2 linked regions of the Drosophila melanogaster genome follow. Each later gene encodes a partner of the first gene's protein in a complex. Each region holds a gene or a part of one and is shown in the gene's direction. Other genes may lie near its edges. The genes, in order: cid and cal1.

Region 1 (3,514 bases):
CATCTAGAGCAGAGCATTTACAAATGCTAGGTATGATTATCCATGAACTGCAGTTCCGACCACAGGAGCAGGGCGTTCGGGGGCAAAGGTCGCGGCTGCGGCGAAAGCAACATCACTGCCTGTCTTTCCATATCCACTTCGGTTCTGAGGATAATCAAATAACAATCATATATAACTAGTATAATATCTAGTTTAGGTTCAGCAGCACTTACACGCAACAAAAGCCGGCCACATTGGTGCCAATCACATCGTCCTCCACGGACTCGGCAAAGCTGAGGGCCAGCACATGATGGATTAGGGCGGGCGTGGGTGTAACCGCCACCACCTTGGTCTTGTTGTCCTCCGCCTTCATTCCAATTGGCATGCAGGAGTCGGGCAGCGGCGGTGCGCCGATCTTGTAGAGTCGCAGGTCCTGGAACTTCACCTCGAAGCTGAACGGATAGAAGGGCGCCCTTGTATTGCCGTAGAAGTACTCCTTGATGCGCTGATCCCTCGCCTCGTGTCGCAGTTCCTTGCTGCGCTCGACGACGCCGCCGCTCTTGGGCAGCAGTACCACATGAACTCCCTTGGGAACATCTCGAAGCAGCTCGTTGTATAGTCGCTCCTGGTCCAGAACAAAGATGGCACAGGCTCCATAGGCTTTGGCCGCGTGCAACAGGTGCGCGTAGCCGGATCCCTTTACCCAGCCACAAGTGTTTATAATAATGCCAGAGCTTTTTGCTGCAAAAAGCAGATGCAGAAATTTGCAGTTTATGAACGGGAAAATGTATTGAAAAGTGCAAAGATATGTGTTACACCTTCCCAACTTACTTCGCTTGTTGCTATTCAGAGATTGCAGTGTTACCTCTGCCATTTTGGAAACCACGGCATTGTACAGCACGCTGTTTCCGCTGGGAGACTTATGGCCAAAGTGATAGACCAGCGGCGCTGTCTTGGCGAATCCCTCCTCAACGTTCGCCGGTCGCTCGATGAGAATGGTGGCCACACTCCCGGAAATGGCAATCGAGCCCTGTCCAACATCCAGGTCGGCGTACAGCGGTCGACGACCCACGCGCACAGCATAGTTAAGCAGGATGCGGCACAGAGTGCTCTTGCCCACGTCCATGGGACCGACGACCATGGCCACTGGTCCGTAGCGATCCTTCTCCTCGGCCTCCATGCGGAACTGCTCCAGTGCCGCATGACAGTTGACGTACTGCACCATTGGCGTCTCCTTGGAGATGTAGCACACGTCCATTTTGCCGGAGACGTGGAGTACACAGCCCTGGTACGTGAAGATGGCCACCTTGGCGCCCACGCCGAACTCGTACTGCTTTTTCTTCACCAGCTCCGTGCCGAACAGCTCCGCAAATCCACTGACCAGCTGAAATCAACAATTTGATTATAAATAACGAATTTATTGTAATCCAAAAAGGTTTTTGCACTACTTACGGACACCAGCACTTTGGCATCCTTCTGCTCGATTTCAAAGCGCAGCTCGGAGTCGGACTCCAGTGTGTAGTCTTTGCCTTGGTCCTCCGACATGGCTGTATCTTCAGTGCTCTGCTAATGAGTTTTAATGGCGAAATAGGGTAATTATCCAAAAATTTAGGAGGTAAACAATTTCACATCAGCTGTGCACTAACGATGGGAATTGATCGATACCTGTATAGTAGTAATTAATCGATTTCTAGGGGTATAAATGATCACTGCAAAATAAGTTAAAGTACTGGACGTCTTTAAACAATTACCATGTATTCCCATTAATATTAATTGTCACATAAATAAACATATTTTAATTCTCAACTGCTAGAAATATATTTAGTTAGTCAGTGCCCATTCAAATCGGTATCGGTACTGGGCATTATTTGCTTTGCTTTATACGGTCACACTGTTCCAAAAAAGCGGGAATTCTTTAAAAATATTTTAAGCAAATACCGAAAATTTGAAAATGCCACGACACAGCAGAGCCAAGCGCGCACCCAGGCCGTCGGCGAACAACTCAAAGTCGCCGAACGACGACGACACGGCCTTCCGCTCGCCGGAGCCAGAAGACGGCACCGACTACGGCCTCGAATTCACCACCAGCCAACTGACGCTTCAGGACAACAATCGGCGTTCCTCGACGTTGCGCAGGGACGCCGGACGGAGGCAGCCGGCAGCGAGAGACAGCTCCACCAGTGGCGAGGAGGAGGACCAGGAGAATCGCTATCCCACAACCAGATCGCCGCAGACGCGTCGAATGACCGTGCAGCAGGAAAGCAAAACGCGAGCAGCAGGGCCAGTTGCTGCGCAAAACCAGACCAGGCGGCGCAAAGCGGCCAATCCCATGAGCAGAGCCAAGAGAATGGATCGTGAGATCCGGCGACTGCAGCACCATCCCGGCACACTGATACCCAAGCTGCCGTTCTCGCGTCTAGTGCGCGAGTTCATCGTGAAGTACAGCGACGACGAGCCGCTAAGGGTCACCGAAGGCGCCCTATTGGCCATGCAGGAGTCGTGCGAGATGTACTTGACGCAGCGGCTCGCCGACTCCTACATGCTAACCAAGCATCGCAATCGCGTCACACTGGAGGTGCGCGACATGGCATTGATGGCCTACATCTGCGACCGGGGTCGGCAATTTTAGTCCAAAAGAGAAGTTTAGGCTTAGTTTAGTTATTTGTTTGAATAGTTGTGTATATCCATTGTAGTGTTTACGTAATGAAAAGTTCAAAGAGTTTGTTACATCCCCCTTTTTGTACCAATTAGAATTAGCTTTAAATAAATATTTTTGCTCGACAAGATTGTTAATTTCACTCAAATGGTTCAAAGTAATCAATTCACTCAAATAACTCGTGATTTTTATAAGAATCGGGATGAACTTCACCAAATAAATAACATGTCATTGAGATACGTATAGCATTTCGTTTTATTTCTAGTTCTTGCTGCTTGCTTCGTCTCCATTTTCATGTACAACATAAAACATAATCCATAATAGTTTAACTATAAAGTTGCCGGCCAGCGCCGTGCGAGCTACAAACATAGGGTTTCAGCTAGGATTAGGATGCATAAGATGTAGTCACGCGAAACGCACTTAAATTATGGGCCTAGTCCAAGGTAGGTAGTGCGCTTTTTGAAATGAGTCACCATTTAGAATGTCGCGGCCCATCGGACGACCTCGATGTATAGAGAACTAAGCACTTAAACGAGTAACATGAATAGATAGATAGTTTAGATACTGGCCTCAACTGAATGTGGCAACTGCGCTCGCACTTGATCTGCTGTCTTTCGTGGGATGGATCGATTGCCAATGGGTGGTTACAGGACTTAAACGTAAGTTGAGCTTTCGTCAAGCTATTTTCTGGCTGGCGGCTCTGCTTTCTTTTTGGCATTTGCACATGTGTTAATTGGGCGCAGTAAAAGTACTGCTGTCTAGATATATTACAACTTACACAATCATACAAAATATAGGTATTTATTTTCTTTAAATATTTAGCCATATAATTGATATCCGGAGACTGCAACAGTTCTGTCTCCCAGCAGCCTTAGCCAC
Region 2 (6,098 bases), on another chromosome or scaffold:
TTGGGCATCACGGCTATCGAACTGGCCAAGGGTGAGCCGCCCAATTCGGAGCTGCATCCGATGCGCGTGCTCTTCCTCATCCCCAAGAACAATCCACCCCAGCTGACGGGCAGCTATACCAAGTCTTTTAAGGACTTTGTGGAGGCCTGCCTAAACAAGGACCCGGAGAACAGGCCCACGGCCAAGGAGCTGCTCAAGTACCCGTTCATCAAGAAGGCCAAGAAGAACGCCTATCTGATTGACCTGATCGACCGCTTCAAGAAGTGGAAGGTCTCCAAGGGCGACGAAAGTGAGACGGAGTCTGAGAACTCTGACTCGGACTCGGACGCCAAGCAGGGCGGCAGCAGCCAGGATGAGCCCTGGATCATGACCGTCAAGGGCCTGCATATCAACAGTGCTCCGCGGGCGGGTGTCAACAGCTTCCAGTTGCAGGAGCACGAGCTAACCATGCAGAAGCTGATGCAGACCACACACTCGCCAGCCGGCGGTGGTGGCGTGCAAGCGTCCCCTGCTGCAAATGCATTATCGTCCTCTGTGTCCGCCGTGGCGGCGTCAGCTTCCTCCGTATCGGTCATTACAGCCAACGAAGGTGTCTCCTCTGCATCCGCCCTGCCCCCCCAGAACAGTCACGTCCACAACCACAACCACAACAACATTAACAACAATAACATCAGAAACTTGAGCAACAAGCATGCCACCACCACCATGCTGAACGCAGCTCCTCCGCCGAGCAGCGTCACAAGCTCGTCGTCGGCCAGTGAGCTGCAGCAGAAGCGTTCCAGCTCGAAGCCGGAGCTGCGCCAGTCGCGATCCGCCGCCCCTCTGGATCAAGTAGAGGATCGCCGTGCCTCTTTGGGCCTGCCATTGCAGTCGTCGGTTCCGACTCCATCGACGGCTGAGCAGCAGCAACAGCGCCGCAGCAGCCAACGTGAATCATTCCATGCAAATAACGCCGCGCTGGTTGCCAGCTGCAGCAGCAGTAGCAACAACCACAGCCACGAGGAGCATGTGGCCACCAACCATGCCAGCCATGTCAAGCACTCTGGGGCGGGACAACGCCTAGTCCAAACGAACAGCGCCTGTCTGAACAACTTCCTCTTCCCCGTGCTGAGCGACATCCAGCGAAAGTACTCCGGCGGAGGATCTGCAGGAAGCGGAGGATCAGGCGGCCGTAACATAGGCGTCGGCAGCGACATCGGCGACCTGAAGTCTGTGTTCGAGCTGGCCGAACGTTCCAGTCCGGGAGTGAGCGACCTATTTATGAAAGAGCTGATCCACATGCTCGTTCCTGGTTACTCGGAGACGCGAATCAATACGATCATGGACCGCGCCATACGCAACCGCAAGTAGCTGGCGAAGCCGTAGCAAATTCCGATTCCAAGCAGCCTATTTTAATATATACACAACTTTATTAACGACACCGAGACAACACAAACTGAAACGCTGGAGCAGACATATTCCGACATTTAGTGGCCAACAGAGGACCGGGAGCGATGTACATGTATTTCAATTGAACAGTTATTTAAGCATATAATATGTATTCGTTTGTTTATCTGCAATATTAATCTAATGTAAAACATATATAACTTCAAAATAAAAACCCCACAAAAATAAACAATTCGATTTTGGCGCGCTAATGCGAACTTGGCATCATTGGTGACTCCGAGTATTCATTTGATCTGGCAACGCTGGACGCTAGCGAAAAATGCAGTAAATAAAAAAATAAATAAATTGAATAAACAGGATATCGTTAAATAAATAATAATTATAATCAAAAAGCCGTGCAAATAGAACATCAAAACGACCTTATTGGAAATGAGGAACCCAAGTTTTCTATTTGTTTTATATAAATAAAAATGGGACGTGTTTAGTTAAGTCGCGTTTTGGTGTATTTTTTGGCGCCTTGGAGACGGTAACACCAGTGGCAACGCCATTTTTGTTGACTCTTTATTTTTGTGTTTTAAGATTTCTTTTAGTTTTTATAAATTTTAATCAAGTATTCCGTGAACTGATAACTACATAACCATGGCGAATGCGGTGGTGGACGAGGAAACACTGGAGGCAATGGTCTACGAGCGCTCTAAGGCCTGGTCCAGTAAAATGGCGGTGAGTCCGTAGAAACCCAAGTGGCGTCTCTTCTTGATGGACGATATTGTTTTATAGGATTTTGCCAGCCTGGAAGACGGCATGGAAATAGATGTGGCCGAGTTCGACAACTTGTTCCACGGCGAGGACGAGGACCCCGACCTGGATGACGTGGCAAAGGAGGCTGTGGAGGACAATGTGCCCGACGAGGCAAAGCTTGAAATGGGCCATATCAACGCCACCAGCGTTACAGAACTGACACTTATACTTTGCGCCAATGAGGATAACGAGGCAAAGGCGGAGATCGAGGAAATCCTTAATCAAACGGTGCCGGTGGTCGAGGAGCACAAGCGCAAGTGGCGGGAGGCGGGACTGGATCGCATTCTGGACACTTTTGATGAAAAGCAGATCGAACACCATGTGGGCCGCTGGATGCGAAGGCACAACAGCGTCTACCTGGAGGCCTCACCACCAAAGTACCTTCCACCGCACCACAACTCAATCTCAGACGAAAGCGACGAATCGATGCACTCCATCGACACGGCTCGCTACATCCAGCAGAGTCGTCGGCGCAATGCTCACATGACCAACAAGAACATGACCACCATTAAGATGTACCGTAAACACTCTCACAAACGAGACGAGTTGCGGGCAAAGTACGCCTATGGTGACGAGCAGGAGCATCGTCACCACATGCAGGCCGTGTTGCTTCGCCGACGTGAGAGGGAGCGCCAGCTTGCATATCTGGCGTCTACGCCGATGCAATGCGTCTACTCCAGCGGCCATCATATGAGACGCAAGAATCTGCGTAAGCGGCGCATAAACTCCTGGATGTTTGACTCGGCATCCAGCAGCGAGGAGGATACATCATTCGGCGGCTGCGACTGCCACTCCTGCCGGAGGCATTACGCTCTGTCTAGAAGTGTCTACCAGTCCTGCCCGTACGGCAGAGGTCAACGCGAGTATCACCACCGTCAGATGGCATCTCGAACCATGCACACCATGCGCCGCCAACACACCTTCGATATGGAAATGGACTTGAGACCAAGGCTGCCAGAGAACGAGTGTAGTTGCTGCAATAGTGACCGCCTATGCTCCAATGTCATTCACATTGCCAATAGCTCAACCGAAGAGTGGGTGGTGGAGAACAGAAGTAATCATTTGACCCAGGAGACACAGGAAAAGACTAGGAAGCAAAAGCACCAACCGATGGATGCCAGGAAAGTTAGTCATCAACCGGTATGCTCCAAAGGTCACGAACAAAAGCCACTGAGTTCGAAAGCTACCTCTGTTTCCAAATTGGTCTTATCGAAAGAAAAGTATATGCAAATGTTTGATAGTGAGTCTTCCGATGAAGATAACGCCTTGGCTAAAAAAGGATTGCTATGCTGTTCGGATAAAAAAAAAGGAATGACATTTCCAACTCCAAATGCCGCTGGTAAGATTACCCATCCTACTTCCTCGGCGAAGAAGGCTATAAGAAAAGAAGCGCGTCCCAATGGTTTGGCACAAATACAAGAAGAAGGGCCGACTGCAACGAACTCTCCAATTGAATCCACGTATCTTCCAGTTGCTCATATGAAAAGCGTATCTATTGACGGATCAAGTGGTACATCTGCAACATTTGAATCTCCAGCAAAGAAAGCGCCTAAGAGGGGTATTAGGGAAACTTCACCACTCAACGGAAATGAATTACAGCAGCTGATATCAACAATCCCTATAGCTGACGAAAAGGCATCGAGTCTTATGGAAAAAGTGGATAATTGTATTGGAAGAGAATCTTTCGACGACAGAAATAAGGATTTCATGCACATGGAGAACTCATCGACTAAGACTGCCGTTGAAAAGTCTACCAAACAGAAAAGGGTTTCTGGTAAAAAGTCCGAAATTCCAAAGAGTATTATTACTAACAACGAAATCCTGGAAAAAAACAGCACTGAAACCTTATCTGAAAAACAAGTTGCAGCTAAGGCAAAAAAGCAGTCAGTTAGAAAGACAGGTGCGACCGGAAAACCGTCTACTTCGAGATTGAAAAAGTCAGAAAAAACGAAAACAACTTCTTCTGTGACTTCGACTTCGAAGTTAGAGCAAGTCAGGGAAGAGGAGTCCGATGTATCATCAGAAGTACTGGCAAAACCTAAACCACAATGTTCAACTACGGCAAGCATTTTAAAGCAAGGTGGTGATGGGGCATCAAACTCGGAGGATGATCTGCAAATAGCCCTGGCTATGTCGAAGGCCACCTACAAGGAGGAACAACAGAAGCGCAAAAAAACGAAAAGGGAGCCATCTAATAAGCAGCCCCAATCACCTGCAGAGAAATCAATGACGGTATTCAACAATCAAAGCGTAGCGTGCAACTCCACAGCTCTGGCCAACGACACGGCTTGCTACCGCGTGCTTCCCAAGAGACGAGGAGTCAAGAGGGCAGCCGCTGTTAGCACTACGGAGGAGAAGACAGCGACGAACAGCTCGAGCTCCCCAACGAGCAGTTTGGAAGAGATGGGCAGCCCCACAGGCGGGGATCCTGACTGCACTGTAGTTACATCTACCACTGGCTGCGAACCGCCTGCAAGTGAACGACAAGAGATTCCAGCGACCATCAAGATCACCAAGCGCGGCATTCTGCTGCACAGCCCTTCCGCGCCGGAAGGCGCCAGCTTCACACTGACCGAGCAGGGACTCGGAAAGATTATTGGAGAACGTTGGGCCCGCAAGTACCTGAAGTACCACATCGGCAGTCGGAGCTTTGATAGCCGACACTCGGTTTACTATCAGCCGACTCCCCAACTCGCCGCAGCTCTCAGTGCACCGCAGGATGCGCAGAACATCGGGAACATCTCGGGCTCAAGTGCAAGCGATGATGACATCTTCGAGCAAATCAATCGATATGGAACGGTGTACAGCATACTCGAGAATAATTCCGGTGACAAGTAATTAAGTAGTTAGGTTTCATATTTCAGACCTATTTTTTAAATATATTAGGTTCATGTTTTGGTTGTACATGACGGATTTCTTGGTGGTGTTAAACACGTCCTTGCAAAAGAAATTATATAAGAAAAGTTGTATTTAGTTCATTTTTTTGTGTTTTGATTTATTTCACGTAAATTACATGATCGATAGTGATAATAGAAAACATAATACGTCATAATCATTTTAATCATCATAAATTTTTCGCTTAAGTATTAAATAATTGTTTAAGAGATTTATTCGCATTGCAATAGTAATTCTTGTGTGTCGAAGTTGTGCTTTAGTTCGTTTCCATGAAGTCTATCAAAATTCATATCGGCAATTGTTAATTTTATGTATTCACAAGAAAACAAATAAAACGTAAGATCAATTTAAAGAGTGAAAATGGCGCGTCGAAAAACAGAAGCTTCTTCCTTCCATGTATGTACAAATAACAAAAACTTACCTAAAATATGATGATAAATCAAGAAATTAAAATTAAACAAAGAGCGTTATGATGAAAACAAGAAACACACGACTTTTGACCCTGGAACATGCGCGCCCACACACATACACATGCGAAGCATATATCTACACGTACACATATGCCTGGCCGGCTATATAGCGCCCTACACATCGATCTGGAATGGGGAGCCGGGTATATGCTCCTCGCCCCACTTGATTAGGAGCACGTACTGGCCGCGATCGCGCACCAGATACTGCACATTATAGTTGTTGTGGCCAGCGTGCTTCACGTGGAACTCCTCGCAGGGTCCCTTTGGTCCGTACATGCCCACGTACAGGATGTTGTTGCCTTTTAACAAAAGCAGGATATATTATAACATCAAGTTTAAAATGGGTATGAATATTACTCACCCGCATCGGTGGCGCTGATGCTGAACTGGTTCTGCTTGCCAATGTAGGCCTTCTTCAGGCCCATACCCTTGGACACCACCTTGCTGGCATCCGACTTAAAGGTGGGCAGATGGACGCCCGTGTTCTTGCCTCCTTTGGCCACCTTCTGCACGGTCTCCACGATCACCGTGGACGTCTCCTGGGCGCCC

The links.
Region 2: the proteins of cid (region 1) and cal1 are in contact, whole or in part, in a crystal structure (PDB 6XWS), measured with the Drosophila melanogaster proteins. Residues at the interface, in NP_523730.2 of Drosophila melanogaster: Lys150 (codon at 2,378), Ser154 (codon at 2,390), Arg158 (codon at 2,402), Pro169 (codon at 2,435), Leu170 (codon at 2,438), Arg171 (codon at 2,441), Val172 (codon at 2,444), Thr173 (codon at 2,447), Glu174 (codon at 2,450), Gly175 (codon at 2,453), Ala176 (codon at 2,456), Leu177 (codon at 2,459), Ala179 (codon at 2,465), Glu182 (codon at 2,474), Ser183 (codon at 2,477), Met186 (codon at 2,486), Tyr187 (codon at 2,489), Gln190 (codon at 2,498), Arg191 (codon at 2,501), Asp194 (codon at 2,510), Met197 (codon at 2,519), His201 (codon at 2,531), Val209 (codon at 2,555), Arg210 (codon at 2,558), Leu214 (codon at 2,570), Met215 (codon at 2,573), Ile218 (codon at 2,582); in NP_650597.2 of Drosophila melanogaster: Ala4 (codon at 2,035), Val5 (codon at 2,038), Val6 (codon at 2,041), Asp7 (codon at 2,044), Thr10 (codon at 2,053), Met14 (codon at 2,065), Arg18 (codon at 2,077), Ala21 (codon at 2,086), Trp22 (codon at 2,089), Lys25 (codon at 2,098), Phe29 (codon at 2,167), Glu33 (codon at 2,179), Asp34 (codon at 2,182), Gly35 (codon at 2,185), Met36 (codon at 2,188), Glu37 (codon at 2,191), Ile38 (codon at 2,194), Asp39 (codon at 2,197), Val40 (codon at 2,200), Phe43 (codon at 2,209), Asp44 (codon at 2,212), Leu46 (codon at 2,218).

What each region holds. Positions count from the first base shown.
Region 1 is NT_033778.4:13,483,761-13,487,274, forward strand, and holds cid (centromere identifier), read left to right. Parts: upstream 1-1,856; 5' UTR 1,857-1,930; coding exon 1,931-2,608; 3' UTR 2,609-2,871; downstream 2,872-3,514. Other genes in the region: cbc (crowded by cid), read right to left, coding at 27-144, 213-720, 811-1,363, 1,432-1,524. UniProt on the Drosophila melanogaster protein: Histone H3-like variant which exclusively replaces conventional H3 in the nucleosome core of centromeric chromatin at the inner plate of the kinetochore.
Region 2 is NT_033777.3:17,086,377-17,092,474, forward strand, and holds cal1 (chromosome alignment defect 1), read left to right. Parts: upstream 1-1,903; 5' UTR 1,904-2,025; coding exon 2,026-2,106; intron 2,107-2,163; coding exon 2,164-5,022; 3' UTR 5,023-5,562; downstream 5,563-6,098. Other genes in the region: GckIII (germinal centre kinase III), read left to right, coding at 1-1,350; cher (cheerio), read right to left, coding at 5,664-5,848, 5,911-6,098.